3 linked regions of the Drosophila melanogaster genome follow. The protein of the gene in region 1 interacts with the protein of each later gene in a pairwise test. Each region holds a gene or a part of one and is shown in the gene's direction. Other genes may lie near its edges.

Region 1 (10,780 bases):
ATGATACCATGTGGCAAGTGACGCGCCTACCATGTCCCCTTCGAATATGTAGTCCATGAGCTGATGCCTGGGCAGCTGGGTGGCATCGATCAGGAGCTGGAAGGTGAACTCCAGCCGGGGATCCATCTCCCCACGTCGGGCCTTTCGCTCGCATTCCTCGCGCCGCCGCTGCGCTTCGTCAGGGTCCATTTTTCAAAAGTTTATTCGTTATATTCGAATCCGTGTTGTCAGGTCAGACATTCGTGAAACCGTTTGGTTTCCAGAAAATAGTTTAACGATCAATATTTTGCAGTGCGTAGTGGTGGTAATGTTTTTGGTTGTACAAAAAAAGGTATTGTTGATTTCAGTTCGTAAAACAATTTGGTGTTTACAAAATGTTCGGTTTTCAAAATTCAAAAACGAAAGAGACCAAGAGTTCGTTAGTTTCAAAAATGGCACATAGTAAACTTAGTAAAAGTTCGATACTACATTCAAAAATCTACAACAACATTACCCATATAGCATGATAATAAAATACCAGAAGTAATGCAAAAATCAAAAGTAGTGACCTCTAAATGCTATACAGTATAAGTTGAAAGGTGATTTCGTAACATTTTACTAGGTTATCTTTTTGCAGCAACGGAAGTGAAGTTCTTTACAGTTGCATCTATGTGGATTTTGGGTTACTCAGCTAAAAAGAAATGAAGATTGGTGTATTAGAAAGATATTACATGGGTAGAGCCTCAACTACGAGCAATTTACACTCGCAACTTGCAGGTTATGCGATTACGTAATCAGTCAAAGGGCTTCTAGGAAAATCTAGGTTACTTTTGTATTTATAATCTAAGGCAACAACATAGGATTATATGGGTTAATTAGCACGACTAGCACTCAATACGTCTAGTAATTAGTGATTCGGGATTTGCACCTGCAAAATGTCGCCCTGGTCCTCCTCCTCATCATCATCATCACTACTGCCCCCTTCGGCTCGCATGGCCAGAACATGCTCCACCAACTTTTTCTTTTGCACGAACATCTCGCCGAAACTCTAAGCAAAAAGCAAATTCACCAAAAATCAAAGATACTCGGAATTTCTCTCTATTCAAAAATCATTATAGATTTACTGCGTTTTTCGATTTTTGTCTGCGCGTTGCACAACTTTTTGCCTCTGTGGATTTGAATAAGATGAAAATCCTATCGAATAAACACTCGAAATACGCTCCCAGTAGCCAAGGCAACAGTAATTGAAAGTTGAATAAAGCTTAATGTTACCAGGGCAACAGATCTGAGAAGTTTCGTCGATCGACGATATTATTAGCAACTAACTAGCCACCTGTTGATGACATGTAAACCAAAAATTCGGAAATTGGCACCACGTTACCACGACAACAGAACTGACATGTTTTGTCAATGGAATTTCATATTCCACCCGTTATCCGCCTGTAAACCACCTGTTATCCACCCTTTATCCACCTGTTAACTACCTGTTATCCACCTGTTAACTAAATGGATACACCTGTTAACCACCAAACCAACAAACATTGTAAACAAACTCCATGTTACCAAGGCAACATAGCTAAGATGTTAAAATATCAAAATACCAAGTCAACAGTATTATTATCATCTGTTAACCACCTGTTACTCCGCTGTTGTTATTCACCCGATATTCACTTCCTTTCACTTTCGTTGCAGATAACAGGAATTAAATTTGCAAAATGTAAATACTAAATATCAATAAATATCTCTTATTTGTATACAGATTGTAAACAAAAACTTACTCGCTTCCTTATCAACAATCCGTTGCACATTCTACTGATAAGGGTTTTTTATATCTCTGTATTATTGCTCTCTTGATTTTATTGGGATTCTGCCAGTTTTCGTTCGCGATTTAAATCAGTGTGTTTTATAAGTTCCAATTGAGAAGTGTTCCCATAAAATACGCATATGTTTCATGAATCACTGAAGCTGATCTCCCTGATGCTGCTGTGGGTCATTGTGGCTGCGGTTCTGACGGATTGCGAGGCCAGGAGCCTTGTGGACAGGTCCGAAAATTCCGATAGCAATGGTAGCTCGACCAATAGATCCGCGGCAGAGTACCAACTGCAGGAATACGCGGAATTCATGAAATCCTATATGAACCAAAGTGTAGAGCCCTGCGAGAATTTCTACGAGTATGCCTGTGGAAATTATCGGAACGTAAAGCCGGATCGGTACTCACCGGGCAGTAGAAGCAACCTGGGCGACGTGACTTACACACTGATCGACATCACGGAGCAACTGCTGGGCAGAATGGATCTGGCGGAGGCTCTAAACGTATCCAGCGAACTGGCGGTGGCCCAGCGATTCTACAACGCTTGTCTGGGAGCAAATCTCCATCCTTTCAATGCGGCGGATCCCGCTTACTTGAGTCTAATTCGATCGATTGGAGGATTTCCCGCTGTGGATGGAGACGCCTGGAAAGCCTCAAACTTTAACTGGATCAACATGAGTGCTCATCTGGCCAACTATGGCGCCAACGGTCTGATCCGCGAAACTCTCCAGTTAAGGTATCCCTTTGAGCCCTACACCAAACTGCCCGAACTGGGCTTCGATCACATCATCGTACATGAGGAAAACATTTCCAGAAATACCACACGCGCCTTTCGCCTGAACGAAGAGCGAATGCACGGATATCTGAGGGCGTTCGGCTTGCCGGAGGACAGGATTAGGGAGGCCATCGCTGGGGTCTTTGCCTTCTGGCGGGACGCACTCGAGATCCCGCCCCAGTGCGAAGTGTTTGATCCCTACCGAATTAAGCGAGTGTTTCCCCAATCGGAGTACTACTATAACATCTCGTGGAGTGGACTCCACTCCACTAACAAATTATTCTGCGACTTTTACTACGTTGAACTGGACAAAGTATGCGCCCGACATCGCAAGGCTGTGGCCAACTACCTGGCCATGAAGCTGCTCTATAGATTCGATCCCAAACTGAAGGCGCCCAGGTACCAAAGGAACTACTGTTCGGTTACGCTTTATCAATCCATGCGGTTTCTGTTCAACAAACTCTACATGGCTGTGGGTAACGAATGCGTATGATGAGAATACCAAATAATCTCAACACTCTTGTGTTACAGAACAACTTCAGTGAGGCGAAGAGGCTGGAGATGTCGGAAATGGTGCGGGAACTGCGAAAGAGTCTGCGAAAGGCGCTGGAGGATGCCGATTGGCTGGATGCGGAGAGCAGGGCGAGGGCACTGCTTAAGGAGTCCAGAATACAGCCACGCATTGGTTCGTTCCAAGATGATGCACTTTCGGATCGAATAATCCGGGAAATCAACAGTCTGAAAGTCATCGAGGATCGCTATGCGGAGACCAACATTAATTTGCAGCACCTAGTTGTACAAATCAATCGATTTAGCAGTCGGCATTTTCAGGAGCTGACCAATGACACCAAGCCACAGAAGATCCTGACAGGATTGCAGGTTGGAGCGGGCTACTACACTCCGGACAACTCCATTAATGTGATGGCTGGCGTGGTGGAACCACCGATATACCAACGCCACCTGCCGATTTCCCTGAAATTCGGCACATTGGGTTTTATCGTTGGTCATGAACTCATCCACGGCTTCGATACGACCAGCTCCTATTTCGATGGCAATGGTCACATGGAGTCCTTGTTGTCGGAAATTTCGCAACAGGCATTAGAGGATCGCGCCGAGTGCTACATGGACTACTATGGCAAGTACCAGGTACCGGAGATCAGCAGGCGTGTCAACGGAAAAACTACACTGGACGAGAATATCGCAGACAATAGCGGATTAAGACAAGCATTGACGGCCTATCGCAGTCACAGGCAGCAACTGCTGGAGCATCCTGGGCAGGAGAGGATAAGCGACGCCATGCCGGGTCTCGATCTCACGCCGGAACAGTTGTTCTTCCTGGGATTTGCCCAGCTATTTTGCTCCCATTACGAGGAGGAGCACTACTGGAAAGGTCTTAGCGATGTGCACACCTTCGACCAATTTCGTGTCCTGGGAGTTTTGTCCAACAGCGAGGACTTCTTCCACGCCTACAACTGCTCCGTGGGCAGCGGCATGCGTCCTGGCGCCAAAACGTGCCGACTTTGGTAGATCATAGATTTATAATCATCATCATAAATTCCTTGAACCAAATAAAAGTTGATTTCAATACTTTTTACCGACAATGTAAAATGTTTTGACACAACACTTCAAATTTACGTTACACGTAACAAGCTAACATTTGTGGTTTGAGTACAACTATCGAAGTTTCGCACCCCAGAGCACCGTTCAAATTTAGTCACATCTCCGCAGCGCGCTCGGTAACTCTGTTTCTCATGTCAATTTTGTGCATGACAATTTTGTTCAACAGAAACTGCCTTTTTTTGTAACCAAGTCAGGCTGTCAGTCAGAAGTGTTCCGACTTCGTAAAACATAAACCAACAATTCACAGCAACAACATAATGTCGGCAGCAGCAGGGTGAGTCCACAACCGGCCATCTCAGTGCCAATCGGCGATAGCCGGACCATCTTTTTGTGGCTTCTTTGTGCGTCGCGTGCTTTGTCGTTGCGGCGGCGTCCATTTTCGAACTCCCGGCCGTGAAAAACACATAATTTTCGTTCGGATGACCCTTATTCTCGCGCTCATCCGCCTGGCCAAGCGTTTGTGTCCACGGTGGGCGTGTCCTGTGCGCATCTGCATTGCGATATTTGTGGAACTAATCGGAGGGTCCAGTGTTTGAGGTTATGTTTTCGGCTGGCGGTAATGCCGTGCATTTTCGGCATGGACTTTTGCCTGGGCTTATGGTTTATGCAAATCTAGCTAGCTGGGAAGCTATTTACATAGTTCGTGCACCCGCTTCCAGAAAGTCCGACGCGAGTTGCCATGGCAACGGATCTCGCACAACGACATGAAGCTCTTATTTATGTTTATCCAACTTGATCCTCCATTGCAGCTTGATTCCGCCTCCAGTTTCCTGGGCCCAGCGCAATGACTTGATCTACGTCATCATCGATGTCGAATGCAAGGACATCGAACACAAGTATATGCCCCCATATGTAGTATGTCCATGCTCCTTGCACATCCTAATTCCATATATTTATCCCAAAACAGAGTTACGGAAAAAACCTTCACCTTCAAGGGCGTAAACGTGCTGGATCCGTCGAAGAAGTACGAGGTCACACTGAACTTCCTCCACGAGGTGGATCCCGAGAAGGTGACCAGCAAGAACATTGGCCGCTGCCTGGAATTCACAATACCCAAGAAGGCGGCCGGTCCCTACTGGTCCTCGCTGACCACGGACAAGACCAAGTTGCATTTCCTAAAAGCCAACTTTGCCAAGTGGCGCGATGAGTCCGACGACGAGGAGGGTAAGTTGACATCCTCATCCCCAAGATCTCATCCAGCAAACCCACTCATACAAACGCACTTTGCAGGTGACCAAAAAGACAACAGCATGTTTGGAAATTTCCTTAACAGCCCTGGTGGCGATTGGAACAACAAGTTCGACGATTTCAACGTCGATGACGAGGAGGAGGACTCGGATGACAACATCCCAAGTCTGTCCCAGAACGACGAGGATGACGAGGAGGGCGGCGAGGGTGATAAGGAGAAGAAGCCAGCTGCCTAGACGGTCGCTCAGATGGTGTCTCGCAATTTGGCGTAGTCGTAGCGTTAGGCGTGGCTCTTATACCATAAGTCAGCACACGATCACAACACTCACTCCTCACATACACACCAGAAAAGAAAAAGAAGAAACACTCAATCACTCATAAAACATCCACAAACGCATGCGTACATGAAACACTATTCCAATCGAAGAAAACCACATTTAATATACCTGAATATTATGCGTATTCAGAGGAGAGATGTTAACAAAAAGCAACACAAGGAACAAGATGATTTGGCGCCGACAAGGGAAACCATAAGTTTTACGCTAGAATTTAACAACCAGAGGAAAGCTACAACCAATTTATTGCAAAAATCAGTTTGCAGTTTATTATTTTTGTTTCCTGTAAATAAAGGAAATTAACAATAAAAAAAATGAAAAACTTATATTCGGCTTTTTATTTTCAATATTTTATAAGTTTACAACATTCTATAAATGTTCTAGAAATCTCTAAACTGTTAAATTCGGAATGCGCAGTCCAGCTTCTTAAAGATGTCGCAAAGAAGGCTTTATCTTTGAATAGATAGCGATTTTAAAAAGAAATTATAGGTAATGGTTAAAAATTGTTTATGGGTAATCCCCTAGAATTTGGGTTTAAAATTAACATAGGTATTTTTTTCTTTAAATTTTGCGCCCACTTAAATGAATTTTGTTATGTTGGCAACACTGTTGCTGTGACAACGCGGGAAAGAAGAAGCACAATTGAAATGCAAAGCAAACAAACAGTTATCACTCGAAATAAAGGACTTGCTGTCAAGCGATAGAACGGAAAAGCAAGGTATAAGATTCCCCTCAAAACGATACCATGAAACCCGCTGCGATTCCGGCTAGCGAGCGGCGTCTGGCCTTCGTGGCCGAGTGGTTCCATGCAGAGGCTGGAATCATACGCACCTTTCTGATCACCTACTATGTATCCGACAAGGCCGTGGAAGTGGTGAGGATTGGTAGCACAAGTTCTTCAAAGAAACACATTTAACCAAGGCCATGTTTTCCCTCAGTTCGACCAGCGCAACAAGCGCACATTTCTGCGACGCACCAAGATCCCGGAGCTGACCCAGCGCGACTTCTTTGTGGGCTCCAAGATCAATGTCTTTGGCCGGCAGTTTGACATTGTGGATTATGCTGACGACACTACGCGGACAAACCTAGCCAAATATCGCAAGAAGTATGTTCCTTCATCGACAGCTATCCACTCGCTAATCTGTAATTCCCATCTCTTTCAGGGGATTCGTTTTGCTCAAGAACAATATGTGGACGAAGCACCTGGGCAAGTTCCTAAAGACTCTGATCGACAACAAGATTAACATAAACCAGGGCATGATGGTTCAGTTCTCTCCCAAAATGGTAACTCAGTTTCTGTCCGGCAAGGACACGACGGATGTCTCCTCTTCGTGAGTAAAGATGGCATGCCAAGGAACACATCTTATCCTCTAAATTCCAGAGTCCTTATGAACGAGCTGCTGGCTGGTCCGGCCATTAGTCTGGAGCTAATCGGCGACAACGTAGTGGAGACCATCAAGGCCTGCGCCCAGTACAAGAGCACAGAGGCGGAAACACCCAGTGTGAAACTGTCGCCCAGTTTGGAAGAGCTGTTTGAAAGTGAGGAGATTCGTTATGGATTTTACTACTCTGATAACGACAACGACGTGGAAATGGACCTAAAGTTCATATCTGAGGCGAGGCACAGCATAATTAAAGAATGTGTATTCAAGAATACAACACTTGCCATCATTAAGCCGCACAGCATCAAGGATGGTCTCCTGGGAGACATCATTTCCGAAATCCTGTCGAATGGCTTTCGGTTGACAGCCATGCGCATGATTCTAATGGCCCGAATCAACTGCGAGGAGTTCTACGAAGTCTACCGCGGAGTGGTGCCCGAGTATATACCCATGGTTGCTCAGTTGGCCAGTGGAGTATGCATGTGCATGGAGATTGCTTGCGCCGATCCCGAAAAGAAAACTGATCGCGAGTTCCGCAACTTCTGTGGACCCATGGATCCGGAGATCGCCAAACTGTTGCGGCCTCACACGCTGCGCGCCAAGTTCGGCAAGTCCAAGGTGCAGAACGCCGTCCACTGCACTGATCTGCCAGATGACTCCAACCTGGAGCTGCAGTATATGTTCAAGATAATCGACTGATCTTAGTTTAGTTTTTATTTGTTTTCAGTTAAATGCATGTTTGCCTGTGTGCGTTTATCAATAAATTACAAGTGCAATGAAAATACTAGACCGTAGAAACTTCTCCTATATGCTCCCGCTGCGGCTGGTGCTGGGCACATCCCGGTCCTCCGCTTCACTGTCCATCCTCACATACATTCCGGCCTTGCGCTCCTGCAGAGTGTAATCGAAGGCCAAAAGGGCATAGAGGATGATGCAAACTAGCATTACCACCGCATAGAAGAAGTACTCGGCCATCTGTGAGCTAAGCATACCCAGCTCGGTGACCAGAACCACGATCAGATTGCCGAAAGCATTATTTAGAAACCAGGCTGCCGTGACCACCGACTTCATAGAGGTCGGTGCTTGGGTGAAGGCGAACTGGAGACCCGGAATGGAAAGCAGTAATTCGCCCATCATGAGCAGCAGGAACTGGGGCAGTTGCCAAGCTATATTCACTGTTTGGGGCGGGGAATTCTTCGAATATTTCGGGTTAATAAACGATCAGGTGAGGTATCTTATTATTCCTGCTTACCTTTATTCGTTCCTGCAAGGCTCCTGCACAGAAAAAGGCGCCGGCGGAGAAGATCCCACCCACAGTCACACTATGGAGCGGCTGGAGCTCCCAGTTGAAGTAGCGGCGCAGCAAGGGCACTGTTATATACTGCCATAGAGGGATGAGCATGAACAGAAAGATGGGTCCCACGGCCTTGGCCTGATCCGGCTGGATGGTCACGCCCATTAATGTGGTATTCATCTGGGTGGCCTGGAATGTCCAGCTGGAATCCTGTTGCGCCAGCAGAGCAAAGTAGAAGGGCAGTGGGATAAACAGCTTGGATATCTAAAAGAAACGAAATTATGAAGTTGAAAGAATCTTCATTATAACACAAGTATAACTGACCCTCAAAACTCTGGACACATCATTGACGAAACCCATGTCGTAGGCTACAACTGCATTGTGTAGCCAGTAGTTGGAGCGCTTTGTCGACTTGCGACGTCGCCACTTCTCCACGAGAGCGGTCTTTATGCAGCCGCAGAACTTGAAGAGTATGTTGTCATCGGACAGCTTTTCGGACTTGTAGAACCATTTTCCAACCAGAAAGATAACTAATACCACAAGCATGCGTAAATTAAATAGAAATAAGCTATGAAAACTGATAGTTACTTACACCAGGCCATCATAAAGGCTGCGCCAAGGGTGCCGAATACGGCTGGATAGCATTCCGCCTTGTCAAAGCACTGCGTGTTAGCTCTAACCAGCGGCGGAAGGATCTTGCTCAGGAATATTCCAAAATAGTAGACGAAATAGTAGAAGGAGAAGTACTCGGCCAGATGGACGCTCTGCTCCGGCAGCTTGAACTGCAGTGCGCCCAGCGAGGTGATGCAGGCTCGTATCGATCCATTGCCAACGGCGATAAACAGCAGAGCGATGGACACCAGCAAGCTACGAGTCGCAAGTGGAATAAGCTAAATCCTTCATCCTAATCCGTTGCGAGTACTTACACCATCGGAAGACCCATGGCAGGCAGGGATGTCAGTGTGAGGAGTAACCATCCAAAGGCGTAGATAAAACTGAAGCCGGATATCGTGCGCACATTGCCGATGTAGCTATCCGCTAGGATCGCCCCAATGATCGGACAGAACTGGCCAAAAAAGTTGAAGATGTGCAGCACCACCGTGGAAAAGCTCTCCGTGAAGTTGAGATCGTCGCGCAGATAGAGTGCGAGTACGGCTGGAATCGAGTATACATCGTAATCGTGGGTCAGGCTGCAGTCAATCTCGAATTATTGACCATGAAATAAAGGTTGTAGCATTGAGACTTAATTGGAAATTCGTTAAGCCATCTCTTTAATGATGGATGTTCTTTTTAAGATTCACATCAATGGGAAAATTCCAGGAGTTTTAATTAACAATAATAATAATCTTGAGTCAGTTATCTTATTTTTGAAGATTTTCTTTTTAAGTAACTAAATGCTAGGTCTTGTTCCTGCCCATTATTTGCCAATTGCAACCTAAATTTTCATCTTATCTATGCCTCTTATATTATGCACCATCACAGGTCTTTTGACTGTCAATAAGACCTCCTTGTGTTTATATTTCTGTGCCGCTGATAAGCCTGGTTTCGGAATTTTTCAACCAGACTTTGCCGACGAATGCCTTTGACCTGACCAAAAATCGATTATCTGCTTTTGGATGGAAATCTGGAAACTTACTGCGAATGCCGTTGGCAGCAAAGGCCTCAAAAAATTTTGTGGCCAGAACGAAGAAGACGGCTCGTGGATACCTATACTTCATGCGGATGGTCGGTGGAGCAAATCCATAATTGGGCAGGGAGCTGCGATGCGCCAGCTTCAATTGGGCCCGTTCTCCTCTCCAGGCGACCCACTCCACGTCCCGTGCATCGCGTTCATAACCCACCTGGCTGAGCTCCGCCAGAGCTGGCAGGGCTACATGTAATAGGGAGAGAGAGGATTACCTGCGCTTCTTGTCTTATCTTATCTAGCTGCAGACTCACTTTCTTCGCTGCCGATTTCCGTAGCGCGAAACATTTTCAACAGCCTGCACGCCTAATCCGACGTAGACCAACTGAACCGGAGAGGGAGCAGAGACCTAGGCCAGTTGTTGACTTGAAAGCGCTTCAGACTGGATCGGGTTACAGAGCTGCGGCTTTTGTGGGTCGTAAGCGTTCGCGTTTGGTGTGCCACAACAAGCTGTATTGTTTTGGACGTCGGATTTGTGCCGCGACTGACGACCGCTGCTCGGGGCGGTCCAAGAGCTACTAAAAAGTCTCTTCTCCGACAGAACAAACAATGAGATAAAGGGCAGTCACGACACGATGCTGCTCGATGCAGTTACGATGGACCGCGGTCTTAAAACTAGGGAGTTAACGCCAACGACACAGGTTATCTGTCACAGCCTACTGATAAGAACAAGCCACGCTTGGTGAGGCAAACATAGTCACGGGACTCGGCTC
Region 2 (10,872 bases), 5.2 Mb from region 1:
CATCGTCCAGTGGAGTCTGAACCCATTGAACTCATTGAGCACTCTGTGTTTTCTTTTCAGCCGGTGATGGAGGACGAGTACGTCAAAAGCAAGGGGCAATCGAATGGTGCCTACAAGGAGGGCTTCTTCAAGGAGGGCGTGTTATCCAACAACGATGCCATCTTCAACCCGGACAGCAGTAGTTCTAGTCTGCACCAGCGCAAAGTCAAATAACTGCTGATTAGGTGTACTACGATGATATTCATTATGTTTATGTTAAGTGATTAGCGTGTAACTGAACCAGATTGAAGAACAAGACGAGCAAGAAACTTGGCAGAAGTAGCAGAAGACGATTGGCACGACAGCAGCGAAAAATTAATAGAGCTCGGTTTATGGATTGTTTTTGATAATTTATATTTTAAATACGTACAATACATAAAATCAGTTATGGCAAAAGTCAATCGGATGCGCCGAAACTTACCGAACAAACGCCACCTATGCCCACCCACCCGAACCGTCATTAACTAAAGCTAAGTAGAAAGAGAAGCGGCAGCACAAACTAAGATATAATCAAACCATTTTTACAAACATGTCCTACGGCACCAGTATGAACGTCCCGCTTGAAGCACAAATACGCCTCTGGTGCGCAGAGAAAAGTTATTTTTTGAACGATATTTATAGAGCCATAAAGCCTGTTTAAACCAGCTACAGATACCAATTATAGTGTAGCTTACCGCATACAAACACCAACAAAGACATACATACATACATACTCACTTTAGGTGTAAAATTTTGTATGAACATTTTTGATAACAAATTGAGATGTTACGGCGGCCGAACCTATGATATATGAAAGCTATACATGCTCTCTTCAGTCTGCTCTAAACTCAAAGAAGACGTTATACTATTTGTAGCTTGTTTTGTATATTGAGAGAGAACGGCATTTTGTTGCAATACTTTGTAAAGGTCTAATAGTTAAACTTATTTATACATTGTAGCTAGCTAGCCAATTGCAAAATGCAGCACGACCCAGACCTCCCCTTGGCCTTCCTGGACAATTGTGACAACTAAACGGACGACCGGACCGAAGATCACACTATAGTCAGACAAGAAAGAGTGACAAAGATCATGGAGATAAAGCTTTTATACTGTAAGTGCAAACCGGCTTAAGGACGAAGACAATCAGTTTATTAGTTGGTTGCCGACCAATGTAAATGAATCTTAACAAAAGTTTTCAACTATTTTCGCATTGCATTGAACCTCTTTTTGGTGTGGCTCATATATATTACTTTATTACTACCTATTCAATATCCGCTTGTTTCCATTTTTGGTTTGAAGTTGTTAAACGGTTTTTCAGCGCAGTGAGAAGTATTGGTGACAAATTATTTGTAAGTGTAATTCTGTCTGTTAATCCGTGCGTATGGTTTCGTTGTTAGATTATGTGGCTTAAGCTGACAAGTTCAAAAACTATAGAAAACCTAAATAAAGCTTTTTAATTTATATTAAAACTGTTCAAGAAAATATTTCAATTGTATTAACGCATATTTTGTACGTGTGTATAACTTTCATGACGGGATTGAATCCCTGGGGCCAGTGTACAGTGTAATTGTTAATAAACGAACACATTAAGTGTATTCCCACTTATAACTGATAATTAGAGGCTTTAGAGCCTCTGAGGGTGTGGCAATTGACCCATGTGGCCTATCCCCTAATGAGATTGGACATTGTTTCAGAGAAATACAAGGCATCTTGCCAGCCACGAAAATCTAGAAATAATAAAGGCTTTAAAATAATGCCTTTACTATCAGATGCCTGTTGCTTACTTAACAAAATTTCCGAGAATGGGTCAAGTGTAATATTTTATTTACAAGTCACATATTAATTTACAAATTCTACCGAATTAATATTGCATACACCAGGCCTAACACCTGATGTGCCTTTTGAACTTTTAATAAAAAAGAACTCTTGAAATAATCGCATTAGGAATTACGCTGAGCATGAATCAAATTTCACATTTCCCACTTTATACGACCAAGTAGTGAACCAAATCATAAATATTTTATGAATTACATGAATATTCCAAATAAAACTATATTATATTTATTAAACCAATAACACTATATTATAGGATATATTTAGTGTCTCCCTCCACAAGAAAAGTCCTTTGAACTACGTCGTTGCTAAGTTTTAACTTTAATTTAAGAACTCCTTGCGACGTTTATAACTTAAACCGCAACGAGAAAGGAAGTTAGCCTTGCACCTGTAGCTTATTTGCGTCTGCAGTACTATGACGTCATTTTCAGAATTAAAGGGTATATATGTAGATTCGTTGAAAAGAAAGAAATTTAAAGCGGTTATGGTAGTCCGATCTTAGCGTAAAAGATCAAGCGATTACATACCAAGACTTTGAGAAAAGTAAAAAAAAATTTGGCTGAGCCCCACTACCAAACATATGTTAAAATTAAATTGGAACCTTTTGGGCGTCTTGTTCGTCCCTTAAAAAGCATTTTTTGAAATACTTTACCTAAGCCCATAATTTGTGCTACATGTCATTAAAAACGCGTTTGCAAATGATTATTTGCTTTTCACAATTGTTTTGTCTCAAACAACAGATTAAAATGTAATACCCATTACCCGTAGAGTCAAAGGGTAGACTATAGGTAGGCAGTTTATGTTCTTTTCTGACTCGATAAAGAACATATTACTTCATCAGGACCAATAGACCGTATAAACGTCAAGATCTCTCTTGTTTTTTTTTTTACGATGATCGTTGAACGCTCGGCTGTGCAAAAGTGCAGAAACGTACCAAACAATCGAAAAAATCAAATAACAATACAGATTGCCACTGACTTAATGTACAAATGGGCCAGTACTTAATAGACGCGTACTAATTTTTGGCAAACAAATCCGCTAACAGGCGGCGACAGCTGGGCTGTACAGGCTAATATTTAAGCCCCTCTTGACCTTGTCGGCTCTCGACTCTTGCCGCATCAGCCGGACAGGGCGCGATGTTAGCCAAGTTGACATAACTTAATGCATCATAATGCACCGGCGTATTTGGAGCTGGAGCTGCGACGGAGACTATCGGCACTTCAGGCTAGTGTTAGCGTTAGATAATAATAACTATTTCCCAGCTCACTTTGGCACGCGCCCTTTGATGCGTTGTGACCAAACACTGAACCCTGACCAATTATCAATTGTATTATTACTACCAAGTATCCGAATTTCGTTTACAAGGAATGAACTTTGGAGAATTAAAAAAACTGTTGGAAAAAAACTATTAATTCAGGCAAAAGCTGCGAGTAACGACCGCTATAAAAATAAAACCCCTATTTTCTTAAATACTATCGATTTGGAACATATAATTGTAGGATAATTAGACAATAAATCTTAAGTCACCCCATATTTTGCGAAAACTCTTTCATCATGTTCCAAGCAATTCTTAATTGTTGGTCATACGGTTGGCCCAAAGTTTCGAATAAGGCCGTATATCTGTGCGTATCCATGATTATAAGCCAGATCACCTACACGGGCAGGAATCGTACGCCTCGTAATTAACATGGATGATTTAACGCTGTGAAAGGCCAGGTATCGGGGCTGTTCGGAAGTTCACTCCATGTAATATTTACTCGCTGGCAGTGTGCGATTGCTATTGCGACGGTAGCCACACTTGAACCTTGCCTGCGCCGCTGACATCAGACAAAAAAAAACAAGGTTCGGGTTCAGATTTGGGTCTTGGGTTCGGGATCTCCGGATCTGAATCGAGTCGCATCATTCCCGGTGTCCGGGAATAGCCAAGAGCCAATCAGGCCATTTGCCATCTTCGTGCACTGCACTTGACGCTCGGCGGCGGAAAGTTTTCGCACTGCACTCGGTCGGTGCTTGCCGCTGACCGTAACGTTTCCACCGCAGCCGCTGCGCTGCCAGTGGCGTTCTTCCCTGCGCTGGCGCTCGCGGTTGCGCCTGCGCCTCCGCTTCGTCGGCGTCGCGCGATCCGCGTTTAATTAGCCGCGCGGCGCGATCGCGGCTCAGTTTTCATTCAGAAGTCAAGCGCGCGCTAATCGCAGACGCAGTCACCGATCCCGTGTGCGAAAGCCGAAAGCCAAGAGCCAAAAGCTATTGCGAAAGTAATCATTTTACAAAGTTCTTTGGCAACACTTTGTGAAATAGTTCGGGCCGCGCAATTTGTGTGTTGTGGTTTTTGCAGTTTTTAGTTTTCAGATTTCGGTTGCCAGCGATTTACCAACCGAGCTGCTGCTGGCCGCCTTCCGTTGCGGATTTCGAGCTGTTTGCAAGTGGTAAGCTGTAAGTTGTTCGCACATGTGATTTTTGTTTTTCGCTCTTTTGCAACTGCGCGGCGCTTGGTCCGTTCACAATAAGCATTTTGGACGGCGCTCTCCACGCCAAAACACCTCCCCGCTCTGGCCAATCTGCCCGGCTATAAGGCGCAGATCGTCCGAGCTAATCGATTTGACTGGCCAATCGGGCTGTTCGATCCGGTGTTTCCAATGGTGTGGCAACCCTGCCATTTGGCGGTTGCACAAAATCAGCTTGCGTGGGGCATTTGATTCCCAGCGAGGATCCGATGCTGAGGACCTCTGGAGAATCCTCGACGTGTGGTCGCAGGCGGGATTCCGGCGGGATTTAGCCCTGGCCTGACTGGCAGCGCAGCGGCAGACCACGAACAGCTGGGCGGATTTGTATGCTGTTTGAGCAGCTGTTCTGGTTTCTGGACTGTTGACTCCCAATATACCGATAGGTTTTGTTTTGCTGACCCCTCGAGATAATGCATAAGAATTAGCCAGCATCGTAAAGCTTTTCACCGTTGACATTGGGTCCAAAGTAGCAGAAGCGCAATTAGTGCGCCCTTCGCGAATAATTGCCAGAGTTTTTCTTGCACTAAAAATATACAAAATGGTAATCCAAGGCAACTCGAAACAAGTGCGGAAACGATTCGCACAAAACCGGATCTGCAATGACCCGATTTTGGCCTTGGACTTGTCGCAGGGCATCCTGATCGTGGCAAAAAGTTTCCTTGAGTGTTTCCCAGTCAGGCGAGGTGGTCGAACGAAAACCGCTTCTGGGACCGACTTTCGAGGTCTTGTGACTTACTGATCGATAATGGGATAATGGTAGTGAATGGCTCCAGATCGACGATCGCTTCCGCGTTGGCTGTAATTGGACATCATAAATTGAACCGCCCAGAAGGGCTTGCTCATTGTTCTTACCCGGACTGGAGCCACTCAGGCGCTCCTCGGCGGATGCCACTAAGGTGGCAAATACTTTCAAACAGTAAGCTGGGATTTCGCTTTCCGTATTTACATATGCAAACCATTTGGGTTTTTTTCGCGCTCACCGTTCTTCAAATGCCACGCACGTAGCCGCGTTTCCAGCGAATTTACAGGCTACACGCCAATCCCCTGAGATCGCAGATCCGAGATCTGAGGCCCGACTCTCAAGAAGCCTCAAGAAGCCTCAGCCAAAACTTACCCAAACATTAAATCGCTCAACGCTCGCCGGCGTGGCCGCAGCTCTGGCTCACACCGCTTACTCTCTACTTATAAATAATTTAAACACAAAAGTTTGTTTGTCTAGAAGAGGATCTCGCTTCCACATCGAATAGCGCAATGGGGCGTGCTAACAACTGCGATTTGCGGAAGCCAAGTGTTAGGAAAAGAGCCGTAAACGTTTACATTTACGTGAAAGTATACCTTTATATGTATACTATTGTTTGCTATTATGTTTGCTATTGAATGCATTACAAACGGTTTAAATGTATTGATAAATACAAAATAGAAGGGCATACACTTTTGTCTGACTCCCATTATATATATATATATATGCATATGCATATATATGCATATATATACTTCTACCGACCATAAAAGCCACTAACCGATAGATAGGCCGCCGCTTGAATACCAAAATGTCTTGGGCAGTTTTCGAATATTTTAAACAATTACTACATTACAGTTAAGCGCCAATAACAATACCCGTACAATTCCTGGATTAAAGCAAGATTTCGTATCTTAATCTGGTAGCAATCCAGTTTGTACAATACGAACATTTTGTATATAAACTTTATAAAAAACACCTCCAAATATGTGGGATTAAAGTGACGATGACACTTCTCAAGTCCTAAAATGGCAATTAGTTAAACTTTTTTTTAACAAATTTTGCAGACAAACACATTTTGGAAAATGTCATTCAAATCTTGTTTTATAAATACAAGAATTATAACTAGAATTGCTCCCCCTTCTTCCTAGCTAATCATCATTCAACAAGAGATTTAAATCATCAAAAGATTATTCGATCACGATATACATAAATGGCTCTGATCAGACTCTCGGTTCTCATCGTCACTACGTAAACTGCCATCCACAGCGATGTTAGGGGACTTTACTTGGGATAAGCACACGTACCTACTTATAATGTCAATTGGAAGACAGCGTTTTGCAGTGACTAATGAAAACAATTAACAGAATTTCGTCCGCCTATGTCTGCGACGTGTACGGCATTAAAAATATTCCAGAAGCAACAACACTATCAGCCACATCTCCGCACTTTAGACAGAAGATACTCACAACTTGTTCATGACACTAAAACAAGTTGAGACATCACCTAGCTTGCACTTCGGTTTGCATTACCTTAGTTCTGCTTTGAGTTTCAACTTCCCCGATTTGATTCGACAAACTGGAGTAACTAGCGTAACTAGACTTACTCTACTCTAACTAGAGTTTACAACAGCAGTCTTTGAAACCCCGGGAAATTAGTTAAATAGCTTGTCAGTAAATTGACTTAATTAGTGAGCCGAAGCGCGAACAGCAAAACGAAAAGGAGCTGCAATATGCCCAATAAGACTAACATTTAGAAGAACACCACAAATTGATCGTTATAAGAAACTTCCGTTTCAGAAATATAAGTCCAATACCATGGTTAAGTATTCCTTATGGTTTTCGAGACTAGGGTACATTCCTTATAAATTCCTAATTAATTATTATACACAATACTTGTAGGGTAGACCTGAACTTGAAATGTATTTGATAGAAAGCATATCTTCGACGCTTTATTTTCTTTTTGTTTCCGGAATTCTATTATGTTTTGATAATTTCTAAGGTAGCCGAAGACAATTTAAAAATGTATCCTTCGCAATCCTCCGTATATATGTACATATGTATGTGTATTCGAACAAAGACTAGGCAGTCGAACTAGCCAAGTTCATCTGGACTTCCTTTAGCTGGGTAATAGGTATCTGATAGTCAGGAACTCGATGAAAGTGATTACTCTTGTTTTTATAAAATGCTGAAAGCATTGTTTGTTTGGCCAAATTGTGGGAAATAAATATCAGCCAATATGGTTTAATAGAAACAAGTTAGTTAACACACTTCGTGTAAATGCAATTCAAGCAAGATCAATAGAAAATGTTTAGAATGTGCTTACACCTCGTTACACTTAGCAAACAGGTTGGGAACTTAATGCTAGAATTGATTGAAATCGATTGATTTCAGGCTTTCCGTAGCTACCTTAGTAGAGTCAACAGCTTTTCACATGGTAATTATTTCCGCGTGGAATTGCAGTCGCGTTGCATGCAAATAATTCGGAATGAATTAATTAGGCGAAATTCAAGTTGTCCCGGAAGCAAACAGGCAATAGGGCGGAAAAGGCCGATCCAGCGAGTAGCATTGAGATCGGGCTTTGCCTTGACATGGCGAAAATATGAGTGATCAGACCTGCCCAAATTACTGACTAATATGTCCAAAACAAAAGGCAATTGTACTCGGATACGACGCATTTGCGCTGCTCGTTTTAATGAACATTTTTCGCGCCAGCGCGGTTACTTTACTCGCAATAAATCTGTCAACAAAGCACTGACTTCTCACTCGAGGATTTTGACATTGAAGATGAAGACGCCGACGCCAAAGGCGATGGCGTTGAAGACCCCGCCAAGCGGCGCCGATTGAGCTGTCGAGCAGCTCCGAAATGGTGCCCCCTCCCCATACCGCCACTCCCAGTTCCGACCATTGTCTTGGCCGAGGGCCAGCTCCATTCCGGCCAATCTCGAGAGCCTGTAATCGCTCATTTGCGGTTTATGCGCCGCGAGATGAGCACACGCACATGTGGAAGTGTGGAAGTGGCTATATGGGCCGAAACTAGTGTGAGTTTCAACAGAGATTAGTGGCTATTAGCAGAGTTACCTTGGAGTGGACAAGCTGGGAAATGTGCCCCAGAGGAGGCCTTGAGCTCGCGCCGGCTTAGTCGCGTTTTATGGGACATCGGAAGAGGGTATTAGGTTCTTTTCGACAGCCGATTGGTGGTTGGTCTTACAGGTGTCATGGGGTGATTCCCGCCCAGTAATGCCGATAATAGCACTCGGTAATTAGCTGCGGAATGCTACTATGGAATTACGAAGTTAGATGCGATCCCAAGAGGAGGCCTTCAGGTAGCGAATGTTAAGCCGTTTTATTGCCAATAAAGCAGTAGATTCTCAGGCTCTGTGGGCGACAAAGTCGCCGTTGGCGATTGGTGATGATATACCTGCGGAGTGCAGGTGTCAGGCGGTTCCTTCCTAATTCACGCCCATCATCGGGTAATTGCCTGGTGAGTGCCATCATGAAACTGCATTTTACGGCTACTCGAATAATTAAAGCCCCCGCCCCCATGTTTAACTGCTGATTATTCACAGTTCGGCCCTCCTTCCGCAGTCGCAGTGGGGCCAAAGTGCACTTCAGCCAGACCCTTTGCTCCGCCCCCAAGTTGAGCATCGAATATTTGACTTACGGAGGCTTGCGCTCGAAGTCGGATGTTGGACGCTAATCCAATATTTTGTTTGGAAGGCTCGAGTGGTCCGGCCCAACGTGGACCGTTGATCTTTGGAGCAAGGTAAACTTTGCTTGCTCGCTATGGGCTTCCAGAGGTAAACAAGCTACAAATTGCGCCAAGCGCGGCCACCGGCGAAAACAACTTTCGATTACATTCTTACACTCTCAGAGTTAGAGGCCAAAACCAGAAATAAATACTTCATCCCAATCAGTCGGCGAATGCCCTCAACAGCCCTCTCGAAACGCTGGTTGGGGCTTATTGGCTTTGCTGGGTGTGTTTGCGGCAAATAATGGGGCTTGGAAGCTGTGATAGCACAGGTGTACAGCTCCCGATCTGGGGAAATAGCAGAAGATCATGTCAGCCAAGCCGAGACACACGATTCCCGTGCGAGCTCCCACCTGGGTGTGTGCAGCAATGGACCTGAGAAAAGGGCAAAGAAGCCACCTCCGACATGGCTGTCACTTCGCATTACTGTGGTAGTACTGTTTCGACGATTTCCATACACCTTTTGTGTTTGCACGCCGATTGCGAAAGCGTAACGCCTGACTGTGTTTTATTTCCAGCCAGATCATACTAGCTGCCTCATCCGCCATTAGCCAAGCAGCACCACCGATCCCCAACTTGGTGGGCGTGCTCGCGGATGTCGGCGGAGGCTATATGAACTGGCCATTATCAGTTGACTTGATTTTAGCCCGATTTCATGGCATTCTCAGGGTCCAAAATTGCTTACCGTTTACCGCAGCCGCAGATTTTATGGCCCGCGGAACTGCTACCGACGTGGAACGTCGAGAAAGTCATTGTAAGGGCCATCTAAGGGCGTTTTCTTTGGGCCATCTCCGTCTCCAACTGTCACTTTCGGAGGCGATGGTGAAGCCACGAGGCCGTTGACGATTCATATTTGGCGTTTGGGGTATTTGCCAACCATAATCATTATCATTACCACACATTAGCTAACTAAGCCTTCAATTTGAAAGGTGGCTTTGTGCTTTGAGTGTTGCGGTGACGTTTCTATTGCGCAAAAGGTAAAGTGCCCATCGTTTCCCTCGCCAACATTCCCCAAAAATTCGGCCCGAACTTAAGTCCAATTTAAATAGATTTCTTTTTTCCCCGGCTGGCTCTACCATTGTCTTTGAGTTTGTCGCAGCTCGTAATTTTGGTATCTCTGCATCTTTATTAACTATTCTGCTTGATATTGCTTTTGGCTGAGAACTCGAGCACACCTTATTAAAATGCGAAATTTAAGTGGCTCGAGTGTTGAGTGAATTTCAGTTAGATCTGAAAAGGCTAACGCTTGCAATAAGCCATTTCTAATGTTTTATACATAAAGTCAATGCTAGCGCACTTAGTCATTAGAACTTTTAAATTGATGCACCTCTACACAGCGTTGAGTGTGCAACTACAGCTAATAATTAAGCACATTCCACTATCATTAAAAAACGCTAATGAAAATCTTGCCTTATATTGGCGCTTAGATTGGATATCTCATTTCTCGGAATGCTTGCTTCGATTTGTGCATCGTAATCAAGCAAATTTGAAAATTTAATAAGAGTCTTTTTGTGGAACACATCTAAACTGCAATTCATTAGATTAAATTAAGTATAGTTTACAAACATTACTGACTTGGCTTAATCATTCCTTCAAGCGGATAGGTTACAACAGTTTTATTAGCTTCCACACTGTGAATCTAGATGTAGTGCAAACCAAGCCAAATAAACCCCAAATGTTATTGCATTTTTGCGCTACTAAAATAGCCAGTAGATAAACAAATAGTCAGCACCTGAGGCCATAACTGACTGAAGCTTCAAAAATAGTGGCAGCAGAAGCCGCCGATCGCCGAATCTACGAATTCTCATGCCCAAAAGCTTTTCCAATAACGCCCACGTTTAAATGGCCAGTGGCCACGATTTTTTGGGCTTCTATTTGGCAATGTCGAATGTAAATGGGTCAAGCTCATGACAACTAACCCTGCCCTGCAGGTTGCGTGGACCATTATGGTCTATTGAAGATCTCCTTAGTATTTCAACACAGCTGATTAAATTTCAAAGTAAATGAAATGAAATGACGCCTTAGTCT
Region 3 (10,119 bases), on another chromosome or scaffold:
CATAGCTAGAATTTTCCATATGTCTGTTGGCAAACTTAAACTTCAACTATACAAATGTGAGTCAATGCAAATAAAAATCAAATGAAATTGCACGACTGTCACTAGAAAGGGGTAACCTTACCACTCGGTGACCCATAGACAAAGCCCATATTTGAATTTAGCTCGAGTTTCGTACACCTGCGTGTCCAATTATTTCAAGTGTTGCAGGTGAAAGCAAAAACCGAGTAAATAATATGCCATTGTCTATTTCCGGAGTTAGTAGAGCTCCACGGCTGACGGGCAAGCGATTCCGTCCGGAATGCGACTACTGACATTCAAAACGTCGCACCGTCCAACTGTCAGTCAATTTCCCATGGAACTCCGCTGCAATCGGAAAGTTATGTGTAACCAATTCCCACCCACCTCGCATGAGTGTGTGTGTGACCCCTTTGGCTGGTTCAATGTCACAGACCTTGGATGGCACTCCATATTCGATGTGGAGTCCACATATGCGGCGTATGTCATTTGGGTGGTGCGTTTGTTTATCTAGGCCGAAATGCCGTCGTGACAGGAGAGTGATATGTGAGTGACACTGCCTGATTTACGTCACGGGGTCGAAGGTCGATGTTGGGGAAACCCATATGTGAGGCTCACGCAGCTGCGATGCCAGCGATGTCGCCTTTGACTTAAATATAAAGTTGCTGTCTTCTTAAAATCAAAGTAAAATTCCTATTCTGAGTCATTCAGTCATATATGCAATACAATCTGGTTAAGATAGTGGGTTATATTATAACCCTTTGTTAGCTCAAATCAACTAAGCTAAGCTGGTAACTATACTCAAAGCAGACTCTCGAACAAAGATTAGTCTAGACTTAGCACTGCAAAGTCTATAGGCAGGTACAGGCCCATTTCTCGATGTGTTCTAAAAATTTTCCACTGACAACGTAAGCAAACAAAGAGCATCTTAATGGAAATCAGCTAGGGCGCCTAACCGGCATGGCGTGCAAATGTACACTTGCAAGACTTGCGCCACCGCCGGTACACGAACCAATTTCGAACTTGGAGCGGCTCTATTCACCTTTGACCCGCCAACGGTGTCACCTCTTCCCGTATCTCGCCTAGGTGGACATTGAAAAGCTGGACTACAGCCTCTATCTGCCGCTCTTCTTCGACGGACTGGCGGAGACGAAACATCCCTACAAGACCTATGCCCGCCAGGGGGTCACGGATCTCCTCTTGGCCGGGGGCGAGAAGATACACCCGGTGATACCGCAATTAATATTGCCGCTGAAGAGTGAGTACCAGGGCATTGGCTGGCACGCAAATGCCTCGAAGTTTTTCGGTCTAATTTGCACCTTGCCAATGCGAGCACAAAACCAAAACCAAATACGCCCCCATTTGCAGACGCATTGAGCACACGAAACCTGGAGGTAATGTGCACGACATTGAAGATAATCCAACAGCTGGTCATGTCCTCGGATTTGGTGGGACCCGCCCTGGTGCCCTTCTACCGCCAGTTGCTGCCCATGTTCAATGCATTTAAGGTGAAAAACTGTAGGTATTCCACTAAACTCGATTACTTCCAGTAACTTCCATTGAAGTGGATATTCTGTGCTGTATAGTAAACTGCGGCGATGAGATCGACTATGCCCAGAAGAACAATCTGAATCTGGGGGATCTGATCGATGAGACGCTGCAGGTGCTGGAACTGCATGGCGGCGAGGATGCCTTCATCAACATCAAGTACATGGTGCCGACCTACGAGTCCTGCTATTTAAATTAAACTACGCCTCATGGTCTTGTCCCTTTACATACAATATCATAAGTATTTATTGAATTTTACAAAACATTACAGCATTAAATAGATATTTGTTACCAAAGTGTTATGTGCGTTTAAATCGATATATGCTTGAGATTATAGTTGTGTATATATAATATATAATTGATTTTGACCAACATCCTGGTGGGGATGCTAGTCGCGTTTGGGGCACGTCAGCTGGAAGCGAACGTGGCCCCACTTTAGGTCATCACTTGGTGGGGGCGTACTCGTTCTTCTTCACATTGTGGGGGGAATAGCGATTGTACAATCCCCAGATGGAGTTCATCAGCTTGTCGTTGTACTTGTTGGGCGAGTACTCGCGTTCTGGAAATGCAAAATTGATGCGTATGAGCTCCATTGACCCAGCGGATCGAGATCGTGGATCGTCATGTGCACTTACGGGTTAGGGCGTTCCCGTTGTCAACGGAACCCTTATCTGCGGCAGCGGACCTCAGACGGGCGATGATCAGCTCACGTTCGTTGAATTGCTCGCGAATCTTGCAGGCTGCGAATGCACCTTGTGGAATGGCGGCCATCTTAACAACTGGAGGCGGAGGAGGAGCATCAAAAGTTAGTTATACATTGTAAATACATGGCTAAAATCACCACCCACCACTTAGGGAAATAACGCTCAGAAGGGAGATGATGAAGTCAAAGTTTCGCAATGGGCTTGTATTCCAGCACTCGGTGAAATGCTGATCGAGATTGATGATTTTTCCGCACTGCTGCAGCAGCATTCAAAGGCCAAACTGAAAGTCCGGAAAAAGTTTGTGGGATAGGGGATATTTCGCTTAGATCGAAATGTGTCCCAGTTTCTTTGGTTTTTGTTTTTTATCACAATTTCAACTATGAATCAGATTAGGCCAATTGGAATGGTTAGCTTTGCACGATGGATTTGGCATTTGATGCCTGTCGTTTTTTCTGGGATTTGCTCGATTGTCTGCGATTGTCTATGTCTGCTACTCGGAGATGAACACTCAGCACAAGGGTTCGGATTTAAACTGAAGACGTCGCCTGGCTGGGAATGGAATTTATAGAACGCGTGTTCGGATCGGATCGGTTCGGCTCGGAGCTGCCGCCAAGTGATAAGCGGGAGACAGGAGATCAGGCTGCCTTGATAGCGCGATTATAAAGCCGGCAAGTGATCGCCATTTTGTGCCACTTATCAGTTGCAGTTGTCATTGTTTTGGTTTTGCCTTTTTTTTTGTCATTTCCACACACAAGCCTATTTGTTTCCAAGCTCTACGGGAAGTTTCGATGGGGCTGGGAAGTAGATTTGTGTACTTGATATGGCTATCAGAGCCCTGGATCTATAGACCAGTTTTGCTTTTTAGCCGCAGCCAAGATGAAGGGCTCTCGTTCCCATCACGAGTGTCCCTGTACTCAAATGGCTGACAATCTTACGAGACTTTATTCCAAACCAGATTAATCCGGCTGCCAACACACTATAGCATGCTGGCAAAGGCATTTGTGATTATAATATTATTAAAAACTGACCTAAGTGCACGTTGTTTACTGAAATTTTCACTTCATTTTTGTTTTGGCGCAGACAAGGTGCAAAAGCATCAACACCTTAGATTTGACTTTGATTAGTCATGATCTCGGATTTTCGAAATATTTTCTGTATTGATTCCCTATTTCATTTCTATCAAGTTGTACAAAACAGTGCACTTGAAAAAATCTTATTTTGTTTTAAGTTAATTGTTTTTAATATATTATTACCAAAGACACTAGAATTCTTATTCTATTGTCTTATTCTAGTGTCTTTGTTAATACTTTTTTTACTATAAAGTGAATGATTGGTTGAATTTAAATATAAAGCCACGAGAAAGTTGTTTGATTCGATAAGGAGGTTACTAATAACACAGTTGAAAATATTCTATAAATAGAAGCAAGCTCACTTTATTTGCCAGTGTATTGAACATAAAATAATCGCTGTATAAACAAAGAACGGCCTACTAGTGAAACCAGTAAAGAGGTGGGTGATCGATCCGATGGGGATCATGGAGATGACCCTCGTAAATTGGTCTCAATAATACGATTAAAAATAAATCGTTTAGTCCAGTGACGCGCACAGTGTTTACTACAAAAAAATTAATCTTTGCACAACGCGGAGAGTCAGCCACGATGGCGATAATACTGGTGATGCTCTATGAAGTGGGTACAAAATTCTCACAGTATTCACACAGTTCCAAACACATTTAATTTAGGAACTACAAAAAAAAAGGCCAAAATAATATTTGGGTGATAAGGCGACTGATGGAAGCCACGAGCGTCTGAGATCACGTAGAGAGCCAAGCTTTTTCGCAGATTTGAACTCGGCGTGTGTGCCGATAATGAAGATCCTCGATGCCTTTTTTTTACCTTTTTTTTGCAGTGGCCTTTGTGTGCTAGGTCAACAATCTCTCAATGACTTTAGCAAAATGCTGATGTAACAATAACTCGCTTATCAGTTTCGGTTGGTTTTCGGGCAAACAAATATGGTTGTCCCAAGTTCTGTTTATGGTTTTAACTTTTGATTAATTATCATTTAAAAAAAATGCTAAATACTAAATACTAAATACTTGTAAGATAATAATGCATATAAGTAAATAAAACGTATCAAAGAACGTTTAAGAAAGGCAAACTGTTAATTGATGATTTTGAATTTGAAAAGGCGCCAACGAACTAATACCATTTCCAGCACTGACAAGAGTGCCACTGTTCTTTTATCAGGTGGCAACGCCCGTGCCAGACAACTAGGCTGCTAATTTCTAGTCAACGGCGAGGCTAAAATTAACAATTGGCTGTCAAAAGCAAGAAAAGAAAAACTCGGGAAATTGTTAATTAAAATCGTGACCCAGATCAGCGCATTCAGCCCCCGGACGCAGAGATGACGTGGAAGAAGCAGATGGCTCTGCTGGCCAAGCCATACTACTGGGTTAACATACTCCTGGCCATATCGTACCTTTTGGCCAAAAAGACGCAGTTCATCTGCACCCGCCTATTTATTCTCGCCGGAGAGGATGAAGCATGCGACCTGGACAGTCGTGAGGTGGAAATCTTGTTCTTCCTGCTAATCGTGGTGATGATACGGTCACGCAAAACGGGCAGTGTCACCATGATTAACTACTTGGCCTCGTCGTTCCTCTACACCAAAGTGGCCAACGCCATTTTGTGGGCCTACGCGGACTTCCGCTACGGCCTGGGCTTTCTGCTTCTATGCGTCCTGGTGGGCATGGTGCTGCCGGAGCCCTCGTATCGCGGACCCGAGCACATCACCTACTTCCGCAACGCACAGGTCTTCGAGGAGGAATTGGCCAGGGACAAGCGAACCAGCTGGCTGATCTGCTTCTACACGGTGTGGAATCCCAGCTGCGTGAACTTCGCCCCCGTTTTTGCTGAGCTCTCCGCCGAGTACAACACGGACCACCTGAAGTTCGGCAAGATTGACATTGGACGCTTTCCGGACGTGGCCCAAAAGTATCGCATCTCGGACAGCAGCTTCTCCCGACAGCTACCAACTGTGATCCTGTTCCAACAGGGCAAGGAGACGGACCGCAGGCCCTGCGTCGATTCCAAGGGTAAACTGCAAAAGTTCTTCTTCTCCAGCGACAATGTGCGCGCCACCTTTGGCCTTAACCAGCTGTACAAGGAGGCCATCGAACGACTACCCATTGCGCCCAAGGAGGCCAAGAAGGTCCAGTAGGCTGTCCTGTCCACCACTGGTGCCATCTCATTTCTGCGTGCACGTGCTAATAACTGTTATTCGTTTAGTTCATAGTTTATTTTAACTTATTGAGGAGCTGCCACCGCCAAAGACACGTACAATTGCACTAATATTTGCATTCTAAACTCAGACGTGCTCTCGTCGCGATGCCATTGTAGAAAATATTTGTATGATCTTGCATTTGCATAAATTGTAGCTAATCACCAGGTACCAAATATATTTAAAAATGTGAAATGAGTCAACGAAAATACGCAGTTCTTTTTTAATTCCCAGCCGAGTCTAACATTTCATTCAATTAGCACAGCTCAAACGATCATTTCCGGTGCTCGTTTAAGAACAAGTAAATATTAAGATGGACTGGACAAGCGTAAATTGAAAGAATGTAATAAAGAACTTACGCTGTATACAAATAGCTAGTAAAATAGTGAAAATATAGAGAATGAATATATAGTTTCAGAAAGGTGCCCATACTGGTTTTCGGTACAAATGTATATAAAGTGTTTGTGACAACCCACAATTTTATGACATATTTATTGTATTTTATACGTTCTGACTTGCCGCTTAAAACAGAAACCTTCGTCGTATCCCCCCGGTTTATGAAATATAAAACCAAATGGGCCCGTTGTTGCTGCCAATGTGTTGAGCAAAATTGTATGGCAATGCAAATGGCACAACAAAAATGTTTCCGGCGTGTTGCGTTCTGTTCCGAAATGGCCCCGCAGACATCGGCCATATAGACAGATCGTATATGGATATATATATATATATATACATAAGAACCCAACAGGCCAGACGCAGAACGAAATAAACGCAAATCCCTTTTATCCATTCAATATGAACACACATACGTATAGAGAAACGGACGAATTTAAATGCATAAATACAGGCGACTGCACACCAATCACCACCCACCGCACACCGCCCACAACCACCCCCCACAGATGTGAGCAAGGCCTTTGTGGTTAATATTTGTATTTTTCTTTACTTTCATTGAAACGGCATGAAAATGGCCATTGCATTTTACGTGAATTGTATATGGTAAATAATGCGATTGTCTCACACGGCCGTTTTATTTGCGGAAAATTTAAATTCGCCATGGCAATTGGGACAAGATTCACACCGTCCTGAAGTAATTATGGGCCACTCTGTATCGCCCCAACTCAGCACCCGCAACAACCCAGACCAGTTGCCCCACACCCATTCCCACCAACCAGTAATGATTTCCAAAGGCTGTCACCCGCTTCTCACGACGAGAAATCCAATAAGCACTTGCTCCGCAGCGGCAACAAAACGCATTGTTGTCGCTATTTTCACGTTGATTTCCCTTATTGCCACGGGAAAACCGGTGCTGGCCACATTCAATTGATTTTGAGTGATTTTTTGGCAAGTACCCTGTACGTACACCGAACATGGAATCTTATTTAAGGGGAATATTGGTAAAAATAAGTAATAGGTATGTACGTTATTTTAAGGCTTTTGCTTTGAAAGAAAGATATCATTTAAAGTATATTCCAAATATTTTAAAGGATATTTTAAATGGTGATATGTAAGAAAATCATAGAATATATTTTCTTTTTATTTTTATTCCTTCCTATTTCATTTTACTGTGTATTGTTACGTCTGCTCCGTTTCGGTGGCAGTATTTTTATTGCGTTTTTATGTCAACACCAGCTGGCAGCGTCTTAATATCCTTCGGTCGAAGTGCTGGATTGGGTTCTTGTATATTTCTGTCAATTGCTCACAATTAAATTAAAATTCAAGTCAAAGCCAGCCGCCATTCAGTTTGCAGAAAAAGCCGCAAGTCAGGACAATTGAAGCCAAGCTCAGGTGCTTTTCCTTACTATTTAAAGTGTGGCGCTTAAAAGAGATTAAATAAATCAATTTGGTTTGAAATATCCTTGGGAGATATATTGCCCAAGAGATTTAGTATTTTATTTTTAAGTTACAATTGCCTATTTTATAGAGCTGATTTCTGAGGTAGATATTGGCTCGTTGAAGAACAAAACAACGATTCATAAAATAAAATCTATCTTAAACTCTTTCAATAAATGAAAGACAATGGGAATTTAAAATAAATTGTTACATTTCACATGCAAGTTGGCTAAAGGATTTTGTAAACTCCTTAAACAAGCGGTTAAACTCCTTAGTCCGATCTGATAAATACTTTTCGGATTAAAACACCTTTTGGTTAAAAAAATGGCCCAAATAGTGCACAGTAAAGTGTAATTTGTGCCTTGATTTCTTAGTTTATAAAATTAGGATCACACCAAAAAAAAAAGTAGATCCTTCTCCGTGACAATGCATATTGCAGCATTGCCGTGACCAGGATTCGAACCTGGGTTACCACGGCCACAACGTGGGGTCCTAACCACTAGACGATCACGGCTATGAAGGCACTTGAATTTACGAGCGTCAATCGCGTTCATAAGTAGCTATAGTATATGTGTGGCTAAGACTAAAGCTTAAGCTGGCGCTATTTGCCTGCATTTCTTTGCTCGAAAACAACTCGTTTGTGGAGCAACTACCGCCTCTAATCGCAGCAATACCCAGACCAGCAACAACCGCAGCAGTGAAAGTCCAAAGCACTCGAGCAAGACAGACAAAAGCCACAAAACCGACAAACCGTCAGCCGATAAACAAGATTTTGGCTCATAAATTAATTGGAATTTGCCAAGCCAGCACAAGTGGGCTTGCTGGGGGGCCAGAAAGTGGGCGTGTTGCTGGGCTTAGCGTTTCGATTGAATTCGGTTTGCTATCCGCATCGTTTTGCTGTTCGCAGGGTCGAAAATCCGGATGGTGGGTAAACGTTCCCAAAATAAACCACATACGAATAAATTTAGAACGCTACGAAGGAATTCATAAAGTTGTATATCTCTAGGTATTTAAAATATTTAGTTATTTGCTTTAGCAGTGCTAATGAATAATAGCAATTTGCTGACATTTTCAGGTAAGTTTTCACTACTTATTCTGAATCAGATTTTAACTATAACTTATATATGTTTCGTTTGACGAAGTTTCTTATCTAAAACTCACCCCATAGTGATAAGAACATACTACTCTTATCAGGCCAAAGACTAAATATTATATATTATGATCAATTAAGCAGATTGCAGATAATAAATATGCAACTGAAAAAAAATATGCCAGAAACACCATTTCATGTCGACACTTTTTTGTGTGCAAACACGAAAAGTCCATAGAATATCATAGCTACTGGCATTCATTAATTTCGCCATAAATAAAAATGTTTGCAAAATTGATGTCTGTATTCATCTATAACAGGGGATTAATACTTTGTTGCACCCTTGCGCTTCAATTAATTAATATAAAAGTCAGACATTTCGCTGGAAACAAGTACAAATATGAATATACGCGAACTTTTGCTTTCATAAAACCATGAACAGGTTTGGATTGCCGGCAACCAAAGCTCGCCAATTTGAACTTGTACAATCCAGTTTCATTATATTTTGAATTTAACGATAATGTAATTACCCTCAAGTGCAGAATTATTTCAATGGCAGTTTTGTTTTTATTCTGGCCCACTTGTAAAACACAGGTGAGTGTGTGTGTGTGTGGGTGTGGTGGAAATCGTCGTCGTTTTGTGCCGTCGAAACCCTAAAAAATTGAAAAGTATTTACACGAAAGCTGCCAATTCAAATACACATTCCCACACTCGCCAAGTCCTTATACAAATATTTTTTTGTGAATTTCGTGGCCTGTTTTTTGATTATAGAAAAAACTGGACGCTTTTTGTGAGCGGTGAAAGTACTTGCGCTCCAATAACTACACAAAGGTTGTGATGTGGGTTGGTCCGTTGGGAATCCGTAACAAAGTCCAGTTCGCATTCGCGAAAATATTTTTTTATAAGTGGCATATTACTTTCTAGGGTGTCCTTTTTATCGATGTGTTGGTTAGTTAGCGGGCTTTGGAATCTGAACGATAATCGGCAGGACACAAAAACGTGTCATTAAACATCTGAGATCTTTGAACTTTGCACTAAAATAAACCGGATTTCGTATACTATAACCATTCACGTGGGTGCCAGTTGGTCTGCCAATGCCAGTTTTTTGCGTGTGGCATCAATAATATGACAGCCATATAAAATGTGGCCAGGAGCACGCCAATCCGTAGTCGGCCATAAAATGCTGCTTGACACGGACCTGGCCAGTGGAGTGATCCGCTCGCCATATAGTTTTGACATCCCCCACGCGTTTATCTTCAACGAAACGCAGTTTGTGGTGCCCAAGTTCTGTGGTCCCTACATGGAGATAGTCAAGCACTTCGCTGAGGTGTACCACTACCAGCTGTTTCTTGATTCTCTCGAGAGTTTGCCCAAGAAATCGGTGGTGGAACAGGACATTATTAGCGGCAAGTACAACCTCTCGCTCCATGGGGTTATCATTCGGCCAGAGGAAACCAGTGACTTCTTCAACGCCACGCAGCATAGTTATCCGCTGGAGCTGATGACGAACTGCGTTATGGTACCCCTGGCTCCCGAGCTGCCCAAGTGGATGTACATGGTGTGGCCGCTGGGCAAGTACATCTGGACATGCCTCTTCCTCGGCACCTTCTATGTCGCGCTCCTGCTGAGATATGTGCACTGGCGGGAGCC

The links.
Region 2: the proteins of Nepl12 (region 1) and CG31522 interact in a two-hybrid assay, tested with the Drosophila melanogaster proteins (one large-scale study listed by BioGRID).
Region 3: the proteins of Nepl12 (region 1) and CG11007 interact in a two-hybrid assay, tested with the Drosophila melanogaster proteins (one large-scale study listed by BioGRID).

Annotation. Positions count from the first base shown.
Region 1 is NT_033777.3:9,673,629-9,684,408, forward strand, and holds Nepl12 (Neprilysin-like 12), read left to right. Parts: upstream 1-1,894; 5' UTR 1,895-1,923; coding exon 1,924-3,036; intron 3,037-3,095; coding exon 3,096-4,091; 3' UTR 4,092-4,150; downstream 4,151-10,780. Other genes in the region: Dhc1 (dynein heavy chain 1), read right to left, coding at 31-168, 908-1,015; p23, read left to right, coding at 4,442-4,458, 4,934-5,020, 5,092-5,348, 5,415-5,608; nmdyn-D7, read left to right, coding at 6,453-6,581, 6,646-6,812, 6,871-7,038, 7,089-7,788; CG9444 (uncharacterized protein), read right to left, coding at 7,894-8,283, 8,342-8,647, 8,708-8,913, 8,976-9,250, 9,310-9,538, 10,020-10,253, 10,322-10,355.
Region 2 is NT_033777.3:4,456,032-4,466,903, reverse strand, and holds the start of CG31522 (uncharacterized protein), read left to right. Parts: upstream 1-4,020; 5' UTR 4,021-4,277; exon of another isoform or gene 4,278-4,284; intron 4,285-10,872. Other genes in the region: CG31523 (uncharacterized protein), read left to right, coding at 61-213.
Region 3 is NT_033778.4:19,498,518-19,508,636, forward strand, and holds CG11007 (uncharacterized protein), read left to right. Parts: upstream 1-4,550; 5' UTR 4,551-4,670; coding exon 4,671-5,486; 3' UTR 5,487-6,077; downstream 6,078-10,119. Other genes in the region: CG15120 (uncharacterized protein), read left to right, coding at 1,102-1,273, 1,384-1,533, 1,602-1,762; CG16926 (uncharacterized protein), read right to left, coding at 2,007-2,122, 2,199-2,342, 2,412-2,535; Ir56b (ionotropic receptor 56b), read left to right, coding at 9,650-10,119.